3 linked regions of the Coturnix japonica genome follow. The protein of the gene in region 1 interacts with the protein of each later gene in a pairwise test. Links are inferred from orthologs where the notes say so. Each region holds a gene or a part of one and is shown in the gene's direction. Other genes may lie near its edges. The genes, in order: ABTB1, EEF1A2 and CUL3.

Region 1 (3,654 bases):
AAATGCCTTCTTGAGGAGCTGCTAAAAGTCCAGTAGGTGGTCATGCTCTCTCCAGTGAGATTCTTTTCAGAACACTGCTGGAATCATGCTGAGACACTTATTACAAAAATCAGCATAAATGAGTCACGGTGTCTTCAGAAAGGGATGAAGTGGTGGAAGAACAGCATTAGGTGATGCAAGTGTAGGGGGAGTTGAATTTTCATAATAAAGCAGAGTAGCATAAGAGGTGACAGAGAAAGACGTCACCAGCCAAGTAACACACTTGTTTAGTGATCATTCAGAGACACGTGGAAGATGTAGCTGCCTGCTGACATGCACCTGTTGCCATTTTGTAGGCGCAAAATGTGAAGCAAACACATTTGATGGGGAACGTTGTTTGTATGGGGCGTTGAGTGATGCCATCCGACGTCTGCTGAAGGAGTACAAGCAGATCACAGCAAAGTGCATGAAAAGAGACTACTATGATGTCTTCCTGCAGCGGTAAGCAGATGGAATAGCTCCGTTTGCCATGCGTTTTGTCATCCTTCCTTAGCTGCTAACTTAGAAATTCAAGCCCTCTGTTAAATGGTGATTTGAAAGTCAGCTAATCAGAACCCTATCGTATTCCTGGGCATGTAGGGCTTTCTAAGCGATATTCCTCCATGCACTAAGGGTTGACTTCCAGATACACAAAACATTTCAGATATAGCATCTACTAACCTAGGTACAAACTCCACAGACAGTGGAAAGCTGGTCTTTGTAATGCAGAAGTGTTAGAATGTCATCCTTGACTGTTAAAATCAGATCACTAAAACCACAGCAGCAATTTAGGATAAATATCAGCTAAAATTCATTTTCAGGCCTAAAGCAGTAACAGCCTACAAACCTACAAACTGAGGTTTCCAGCAGTGATAAGAGGTGTCTCATTTCTGCAATACTCAATTTGGGACTTCTTTAGGCTCTCTTACAGGGAGGTTGCTCTGTTCTTTCTTTCTGTTTACATGAAAACCAAAATGTCCTGTTTTCCACTTCTCATTCTGAACAGACCTTGCATTAAGATTGATACAAAAGACAACAGTAGGGGGTGAAAAATAAACACAACTGTTTCTGTTTTGTTTTGGGCAAGACGTTAGTAGGAAGGATGTTCTAGTGGCAGAAAATTAAGGTCAGCATTCAAGACTCTGCTTTGATATCAGCTGCTTGTATAATCCCACACCTTTCTGGACATCAGTCCTGCTCTCTAAAGGGAGTATAATGCCTGTCTTCTGCCTCATTTGACCTTTTGTTGATGTTTGTGAAAACAGAAACCCAAGAGGTGATGTGTATCGGGAAACACTGATAATGGATGCCAGAAGTCTTTTAAGTAGCAATCTTGTATTTCTCCTTTTAAATAATGAGGGAAGTTATGGGTGTGCAAACATAAACAGGGCTTCATCTCTTATGTGGTAATCTGTGCTGCGTGGTTGTAACATCCTTCCGTCATCTAAGGGTGTGTCATCTCAAGTCCTTTCCTGTTTGCTGCATGGTTAGGGCATGCACGTTGACAGCAGCCTGAGAGGAGGAAAATTGCACCTTATCTGGTGGTGGGGTAATTCTTTTGTGAAAGCGTGTGCATCATATTAGATAAGAGGCATCTAGACAAAGCAGTCTTTTAAACCTTTTTTCCCCTGCGCTCTGTGACCTGTTGTTCATTTTTAGAGCCCAGTTGTGCCATGTCTCCCACTAGCTTTGCTCCATTCTCTCCTTTTTAATTCTGCAACAGTTTTCCTCTCTTCTTGTTCCCTGCAGGTTGCTGGAGCAGGGTTATCAAAGTGACATCGTTTTCATTGTTCATGGCAAATCCTTCTGTGCCCACCGCTGCATTCTCAGTGCTCGCAGTGCCTACTTTTCAGAAATGTTTGAGACCAAGTGGAAGGGAAAGAGCATGATAGCGCTGAAGCACCCACTGGTGAGCATGGCTGTTATTGTTGCCTTTTCTTTCTTTTCTTATTTTGGCTGTATGAGAAAAGTGAATGGGAAGGATGATTTGAGGGTTAATCTCCATACTGTGTAGCTCTTGGAGCTCAGTGTGACCCTAGGTAAGGAGAAAGGCTTGTGAAGGCACTCTCTCCATAAAATAACATCTTGTTCAGATGACAAAAGGCATGTTGACTGCATACTTTGCCTTTGTTCCCTCTATCATCGGCTCAGATATAGCTTAATTAATTGCAGTAGCAGGTAGCTGTTACCATCTGCCAGCTGTGTCACAGCTCCTCTGTGGGATGAGTTGAATTTGTCTTAATTCCTGGTGGACAGGTGGTCTGTAGTGAAGACATCACCTCCATAATTGGCACTAATTGAGTCCCTTTTGTTGCATTTACAGAAAGAACTAAATAGGCTGTTAAGTGCATTCCATCCATTAATCACCAATACTCTGGCATATGTTTCTATAGCTTAATTGCAGCAGTGCAAAGCCTCTTGTGGAAAACATATTTCCAGTTTCTCAGGGCATTACTTAGCGTCTCTCCTTTCTCTTTGTGTAAGAACAGCCTGCACTTCAAATTAAAAAGAAGAGCTGGAAATGTTTGATACCAGTAAAAGACTGGATTTTACAGAGTCTGCAGTAAAACTGTCTTTGGAGCACCTCTGTTAGTTTGGTCCTGTCTCCTGGGCACATGGATCAGTAGCAGCCAGTATATTTGAAAAGCTGTGTAAACCAGATGGAGTGGCATCATTACTTATGCAGGGAGCAAGGAAATTGGGTGTTCAGACTGCTGTGTCTGAGGTGCCATTTAGATGTGGTATGTGTGTGGCTTTTTTCTGAGCAGGATCATGTTTGTATCCATTCAAGTTTCAAGCTTGTTATTAAATTCCTGGTAATTCTCAAGGTAACGTTCTTATATTTTGTTTTAGATTAATCCCACAGCCTTTGGCTCTCTGCTGCAATATCTATACACAGGTAAATCATTTACTGTATGTGTATATTTGGCTGGGTGGCTGCTGTCTGTCCCTCTGCCGTAGCACAGTTTGGGTGGCTCTGACTTGCAGACACGTTTGGATACACAAGTAGCCAACGTATCCTTTCTGCTGGCAAAGAGAAGAATGCGAGCAATCCACAGCTCTTCCAAGTTTGTACTTTGTTCCAGTTTCCATGCCTATTGAAAGCCCAGCTTCCCGTACAAGACATTTTCAGTCTGACAGATCTGAGCAGTGCACTCTGAATGATTTGATTACTTGCTGATTATTTTTTCTGAGCAGAAGTTAAACTTCAGTAAAACTTCCATCAAGAAATCAGATGCTGTGTTGTAGGCATGTTGAGTGCTGAACTGCTTCAGGCCAGGAGGTGGTGCCAGAAAATAACTTCAAGGTTGTCCTCCAGTCTGGTGTTTTCAGAACTGTTCCTCACCATGTTTTCGGTCATGGTAAAAGATTCTGGGATGACAGCTTATTGGCTTAAAGTCTTTTCTCACCCTAAGCTAGAAAACCCATGGTAGCAGTCACGCATACTGCTGTTGTGGTGGTCTTTTATTTTTCTGAGAGAATTTGGAGCCCTTTTGAATAAACCTGTTAAATCTTCTTGAATGAAGCTGTTAGGGTAGACACTGGAAGATGGGAATGTGAATCATATGCCAAACTGCTGTGCACCGAGCGGGGACTGGTGAGGTAGCAAATCTTAGCTTCTTGGAACAAGTGTAA
Region 2 (2,995 bases), on another chromosome or scaffold:
GACCAGCCAGGAATGAGATTTTGCTTGGTTGTGGTCATTGGTGCTCCCAAATGCTGGTGTCCATCAGCAGCACCTTCATGTGCCCAGCTGCACCACGGGACCAGCCTTTTAGGGAACATGGACAGTGACGTGGGCACGTCTCAGGGCTTTAAATATCCCTTCGCTCTCTGTCCTGCTGGCAGCACTGGGCAGCCCTGCAGAGCCATTTCCAGTCCTTTCCATACTTTCCAAAGAACACGTGCATTGCAGAAATCAGCCATGTTGAGTGTTGCTCCCTTGCTTTTAGGAAGCATTTTAATGCAGGCTTTTGTTTGCAACAGAGATGAGGGATGGTGGGCAGCTCTGCATCCTCCTCCACCCCAGCTGGGGGAAAGACAGGGTTTTGCCAAGGGATTAGGCAGGTCCTTAGGAAGCAGAGACACTATGGGAAGGGTGGAAGTGAAGGCAATAGAGTTGGTGTGGAATAGTGGATGGATCCCACCAGCTTCTTTTCCAGGTTTTTTTCTCATAATGCTTCTTCACCTTGATCTAAAGGTGCATTTTCCACAAATCTCCCATTGACACAAGGTGTAGAATGTCCCATTCATCCAAATAGCCATCCTGTCCCCTCATGCAGTGAGGATGATGAGTCAATTGAAAGCCATTGGAGATGCCCTGCTGCCCATCACATGCTTCGTGGGTGACGTTCTGCTCTGATCTCTCCTTGTCCTTGCAGGAATTGGCACAGTTCCTGTGGGCCGAGTGGAGACCGGCATCCTGCGACCTGGTATGGTGGTCACCTTTGCACCTGTGAACATCACCACTGAAGTGAAGTCGGTGGAGATGCACCACGAGGCACTGAGCGAGGCCCTGCCTGGAGACAACGTTGGCTTCAACGTGAAGAATGTCTCTGTCAAGGACATCCGCCGTGGGAATGTCTGTGGGGACAGCAAGTCAGACCCGCCGCAGGAGGCAGCACAGTTCACGTCTCAGGTCAGCTGATTAGAGTTCTATTCTGTTCCATTCCACTTTTGCTCTGCTTCCACTCCATTCCATTCCACTCTACTCTATACCCTTCCACTCCACTCCATTCCATTTTGTCCCCAACATCCAGCAGCTCACAGCCTTGCACAGCTGACACTGAGGAGATAAAACCTAGGGGAGCAGAATACCCACCAGGGAAAGATGCACATTCTAGAGGTTGCCTGGGGTTTAAGCCTTGGGTTTGCAATTTGCACACTGGTGCATGTGAAAATGGTTGCTCCCTCTCCCAAATGCAGCTGGCTCTGGTGGAGAGCAGGACTAGGTAATAACTCACAGTGAGGTACCTGCACCCATGTCCTTCTGGGTGCTGAATAAATAAATAATAGCTTAAGTAACACTTTAAACAAAAGAAGGATTCTGCCATGAAAGCCAATTAGCTCTTCTCTGTGTGTGTAGCAGGAGATGGCATTGATTTCCAAACCTTGCAGGTCCTTGCTGGCACCGAGCTATGCAAGACACCATAGCCGAGTCCCTTTGGATCTTGTTGTGTCCCATAGGTGATCATCCTGAACCACCCTGGGCAGATCAGTGCTGGATACTCACCTGTCATCGACTGCCACACCGCACACATCGCCTGCAAGTTCGCTGAGCTGAAGGAGAAGATCGACCGACGCTCTGGCAAGAAGCTGGAGGATGGCCCCAAGTTCCTGAAATCTGGAGACGCTGCCATCGTGGATATGATTCCTGGCAAACCCATGTGTGTGGAGAGCTTCTCCCAGTACCCACCCCTTGGTAAGGGAATGGCTCCTGCGTTGTGTCCCATGGAAGAGCATGGAGGCTGCTTGGGTGCAGACCTCACGCTGGTCATACTGAACCTCCCACTGATCAGATGGGGGGCAGAGGGAGGTGAATGTGTTCCATTGCTGCTCCATCTGCAAAATCTGATGCATGAGCTGGGTTAGGGTGGGTGAGACAGGCTATCTCCTGGGCTGGGTTTTCCCTCTGGGAATCACTGCAACCCAACAGTGGCTATGCAGGAGTGTTTCTCAGCTTCCTGACACAAAACTGATCAGGGGAAGAATCAGAACCTTTCAGGGGCTGGCACAGTCATGTCACTCACATCCTCCTCCATTCCCCAGGCCGCTTTGCTGTCCGTGACATGCGGCAGACCGTGGCTGTGGGCGTCATCAAGAACGTGGAGAAGAAGAGTGGCGGGGCTGGCAAAGTCACCAAGTCTGCCCAGAAGGCCCAGAAAGCTGGGAAATGAATTGTGGGCTCCCAGTGCGTAGCGCAGAAACCATCCCTGACACCAGGACGCTGCCACCGTCTCCCCCCGGCGCATGTGTGCACATCAGCTTGTAAGAGTTTATATGTCAACGACTGGATGCTCACCATTAAGGTCCAGTGGAAATTCTTTAAAAGGAAAAGCATGTTCCAGCGTTTGTGAGGCTTCATGTTAATTTTACCAATAAAACTGGTACAACATCCACAGTGGGAAAAAAGAAAATAATAACAAACAAAACAAACCAACCAACAACAACCAAACCAAACCAACCAACCCCAAAGGTGTGGAGCTCTGTGTGTGTGTGTGTCATTGAGAGGGGCTGGTTTCTTGGGGTCTGTGTGGGAGAGATGTTGGGATGGCCATAGCCAGGGATGGGAGCATCCATGGGCACCCAACACCAGCCATTCCCTGGCTCTCACCAGGTTTATGGGCTCATTTCATTGACATAAAGCAGGGACTGCTCTTGCAGTGGAGGTTTTGATATTCTCCTTAACCTGCTCAACTCTCTAATATCAATTAACAGGGCCCTTAATTATTATACTTTCCATTCTGAATAAGCTGGAGTTAACCCCTTAATGTTATTCCACTTAAAGGGAGAAAACAGCAACCCCATGCGTCCTTGAAAAGCTAGCGATATCACTTTTATACTATTTAATAATGTTGGGAGAAGTGTCCAAAGATTTCCTTCCCCCACCTGCAGCAGATCCCCCAAAAGCCTTTCTCACCCAAAAGAAGCCATAAGCAGAG
Region 3 (3,654 bases), on another chromosome or scaffold:
TGATACTATACTTAACCTTTTTTCATTAATATCCAATTAAGATAGGCTTCAGGGTGAGAGGACAAGGATATTGAAGGGCATTTACAACATACAAGAATTAATATAACATTTATAGGCATTGGTTTAATATAGCTGTGAAGTTTTTTACATAAGAGGTGTACAAGGCTTCCTCTTCAAAAGCCATCTTTAAGCTAAGTCAGTTCTCCTGATTTTAGGTATATGAAACAAAGTAGTGAGAATTTATGCAGTTATTCCTTTAAGACAGTATAAATTAAGTTCAGCTAAACAAATGCAAATTAAACTCATGTTTTTACTGGTTTTGTGGGTTTGTTTTTTGCTTTATAAAAGTATCTCATTCATATTGTCTTATTTGTTTTAACATCATATTTGATTTTGGGATGGTAGACTTAGAAGATACATTCTTATAATAGCACAAATAAAAGGGATTTTGGTGAAAGTAAAGAAAAGGGGGCAAAAGTTTCCATCCAGTACCTAAGCTGTTACAGGATGCTTTTGTCTCTCGAATGAGTGAACTCTTCTGCTGTTTGTTGTCTTTTGCTGTGAAATGGATGAGTTACAGAGGGCATCATGCATATCATCTCATTCTTTTCTGCAGACCTTGCTTGCATGTACAAGTTGTTTAGTCGTGTGCCGAACGGTCTGAAGACAATGTGTGAGTGCATGAGCTCGTACCTGAGAGAGCAAGGCAAAGCTCTAGTTTCTGAAGAGGGAGAAGGAAAGAATCCAGTTGACTACATTCAGGTAGTTAAATATTTTAAAACTTTCTTTCCTTCATCTTTCCCATATTCTCCAGAGTAACATGATTAATATGAGAAACCTCTTAACGTTGACTCAGAAGGGTTAATTATTTATTAATAAACTACTTTTATACTTCTATTTCAAATGTGCACATTTTTAATTTTGGAAATGTTTAGAACTCCTAAGTGGCTTGGGAAGTACAAGCTCATAATTAGTGGTTTTTTGGTATCTACTTGATTAAAATATTCAAACCAGTTATATAAGACCTTGAAACTTTTTGGTTAATTGTAAATTGTATTTACCTCCAGACTGAATTTTATCCTAAGAAGCTCCTTAGCAACTGTTTAATGTAATTTTGTGCAGTGTTGCCTATTGATGTTCAGGATGGAATTTCATAGCAAGATTCTTATGGTTTACAACATTCACCTCTCGCTCACAGTTTAATTACTAGCTTCATTCTTGGTCTCCCTGAGAGGTGTAACATTTATGTGTATTAGGAGGTGTTTTGTTGTTCTCCATTTCGCTAAGATGTTGTTTAGCATTAATTTACCAAGACCATAAAATGTGCTTCAGGAGTTTTGCCATCTTTTCTTTCCTCCCATCGTCTCTGAGAATATAGCTCTAATTTCTTCCAGAGTTCATTGAAATTTAAGTAAACATCTGATAGCTGAAAATGTTCTACACTTGGTATCAAAATGTGGGTTTGTTAAATATGTTCATTTTTTACAAATGTGTAGCTGCAGTCCTTTTGTCTGGTCTTTAAAAGAAGCATTTAATGTTGTGTATCTATTATCTCTGATACTTTGTTGGAAAACAATAAATTTACTAGAACTGGTTACTATTACAAAAAGCCATTTGAGTATAGAAACATTTTTGTTCAAACTGCTAGTTGTCTGGCAGTGCTGAAGCAAACTTCTTAGCTAATTTGGACATGAATGATTCCCCAGTGATTGTTAAAAAGAAGAAAATACTGTATGAACTTCCTTACCTATAAAGATTCTGGGCTGTTGTGTTTTTGTGGTAGTGCGATTTATTAAAAACAAAACAAAACAAAAAAAGCAAGTAATATGTAAAATAGGTGTCTGAAGTAATTTTCACTCTTTTAGAATTCTGTTTGACCCAAGGGGAGTATCTTAAGAGACTTAAAAGCTGGGGAAAAGTTAAATATTTAATTATAAAGATGCTATCAATATATCTTGCTACAAAGTTGAGTACCTGGTGAAGCTGAAGAAGGCTTACGGCCATGTTGCATGTGCTTTGTCATCCACAGCCCAATTAGTATTTGCCCCCAGTATCTCATGAAGATGTTCTAAGAAGGAATCGATATTTGATTAATGCTAAACCTCTAAAAATATTTATTCTCCCATTAACTTGATAGAAGAAAAGAAAAATGAGTAGAGAAACCAACTTAATCCTTTTAGTCATGCTAACCTGAAGCTTTCAAGAACTTTAATACCAGTAAGAAGATAGACAGGGAAGATACATTGTACTATCAAGAAAAAGTCTCCATAGTTCAGTACTGCTTCTGCAATGTGACATTGCCAAACCCTCAGCATCATTGGTGACATGATTGCAAAAGCATTTCCAGGGGGTTGAATTTAAAACTCCTTGAAATAATGGAAGGGATGTTGAAATCCTATTGTGATTTAAGGTACTAACAGCTTCTCCTGTTCAACACCGGGTTGTTCAGGTGGTGTGCTTTACATCATTTGTTACTTCTGTTTTCACAACTTAAAGTTTCAAATCAGTAAAAATGTTTGTACTTTTTTTTAAGGGTTTACTGGATTTGAAGAGTAGGTTTGACCGCTTTCTCCAAGAATCTTTCAACAATGACCGACTCTTCAAACAGACTATTGCGGGTGACTTTGAATATTTCCTCAACCTCAACTCTAGGTCTCCAGAGTACCTCTCATTATTTATTGATGATAAGCTGAAAAAAGGAGTCAAGGGAGTAAGTATAAATTAAATTAAAAGGTCGTACTGTTTTCTGTGCAAATTTGGATCAGATGAAACAAAGGTGATTTTCTGAGAATGATTTTTATATGAAGGTAAATAGCACCATTGCCTTTTTCCAACAAAGAAAGAAGCTGTAACACACACCTGAGCCCGTTGCACTTTAGGGCTAAACTTATATAAAGTGCACAAGGATATCTCAGGATGTGTAGCTTGACCTCCATCTCGCTCTCTTGGAAATGAAATTAGATTGTATTAAGTTCTGCAGTTCTCTTTTTTGGAAGCCTGATCAGTTCCTTAAGTATATTTACAGTTCAGTAGTTATTCCCAATACTTAATGATTCTCTTGCAAAGTAATTCACTTGGTTAGCCAGTCAAATAAGCAATTCCTATTGTTTATAAAGATAAGTAATCATTGTATTTTTTGTGGCACAAGACAGGCTTTGCAAAATCAGTCTAAAAATGTAAAAATCTTAGTTCTAAGCTGACTTTCCATGTCCAGCTTTAGTTGCTGATGCTGGCTTGTAGTTGTGCTTCTTTGCAGTTCTTTTTTTTTAATGCTTCAATATGTATGGTCATCAGGAAAATTTCACTGTTTTATCAGGAGTTTTAACCAGTTGTTGCTCCTGTCTCCCTCACCGTTGCTTCTTCCTACATTTTTTGATGGTTATTTTCTCCCTTTTTCTGGATTTGTGGACTGTTCTTTGGGCTCTGTTGTTCATATGGCAGAGCAGTTTTGTTATTTTCCTTCTAGGCCACTCTTACACCATATACTTGCTGTGAATTGCTTAAAGTATGCAGCTTATATATGACATTCATCCTGGAAGACTAAAACCAGTCTTATTATTTCTTCCACAGCTAACAGAGCAAGAAGTAGAAACTATCTTGGATAAGGCAATGGTTTTATTTAGGTTTATGCAGGAGAAAGATGTTTTTGAGCGG

What was found.
Region 2: the proteins of ABTB1 (region 1) and EEF1A2 interact in binary tests that used the Homo sapiens proteins (3 or more experiments, as listed by UniProt). The two-hybrid records come from large-scale screens. The link is inferred for Coturnix japonica from reciprocal best matches to the Homo sapiens genes ABTB1 and EEF1A2.
Region 3: the proteins of ABTB1 (region 1) and CUL3 interact in binary tests that used the Homo sapiens proteins (3 or more experiments, as listed by UniProt). The two-hybrid records come from large-scale screens. The link is inferred for Coturnix japonica from reciprocal best matches to the Homo sapiens genes ABTB1 and CUL3.

What each region holds. Positions count from the first base shown.
Region 1 is NC_029527.1:7,315,304-7,318,957, reverse strand, and holds part of ABTB1 (ankyrin repeat and BTB/POZ domain-containing protein 1), read left to right. Parts: intron 1-335; coding exon 336-480; intron 481-1,767; coding exon 1,768-1,927; intron 1,928-2,871; coding exon 2,872-2,917; intron 2,918-3,654. UniProt on the Homo sapiens protein: May act as a mediator of the PTEN growth-suppressive signaling pathway. May play a role in developmental processes.
Region 2 is NC_029535.1:8,081,700-8,084,694, reverse strand, and holds the end of EEF1A2 (elongation factor 1-alpha 2), read left to right. Parts: intron 1-715; coding exon 716-972; intron 973-1,520; coding exon 1,521-1,755; intron 1,756-2,102; coding exon 2,103-2,230; 3' UTR 2,231-2,452; downstream 2,453-2,995. UniProt on the Homo sapiens protein: Translation elongation factor that catalyzes the GTP-dependent binding of aminoacyl-tRNA (aa-tRNA) to the A-site of ribosomes during the elongation phase of protein synthesis.
Region 3 is NC_029524.1:6,974,476-6,978,129, reverse strand, and holds part of CUL3 (cullin-3), read left to right. Parts: intron 1-616; coding exon 617-762; intron 763-2,533; coding exon 2,534-2,710; intron 2,711-3,570; coding exon 3,571-3,654. UniProt on the Homo sapiens protein: Core component of multiple cullin-RING-based BCR (BTB-CUL3-RBX1) E3 ubiquitin-protein ligase complexes which mediate the ubiquitination and subsequent proteasomal degradation of target proteins.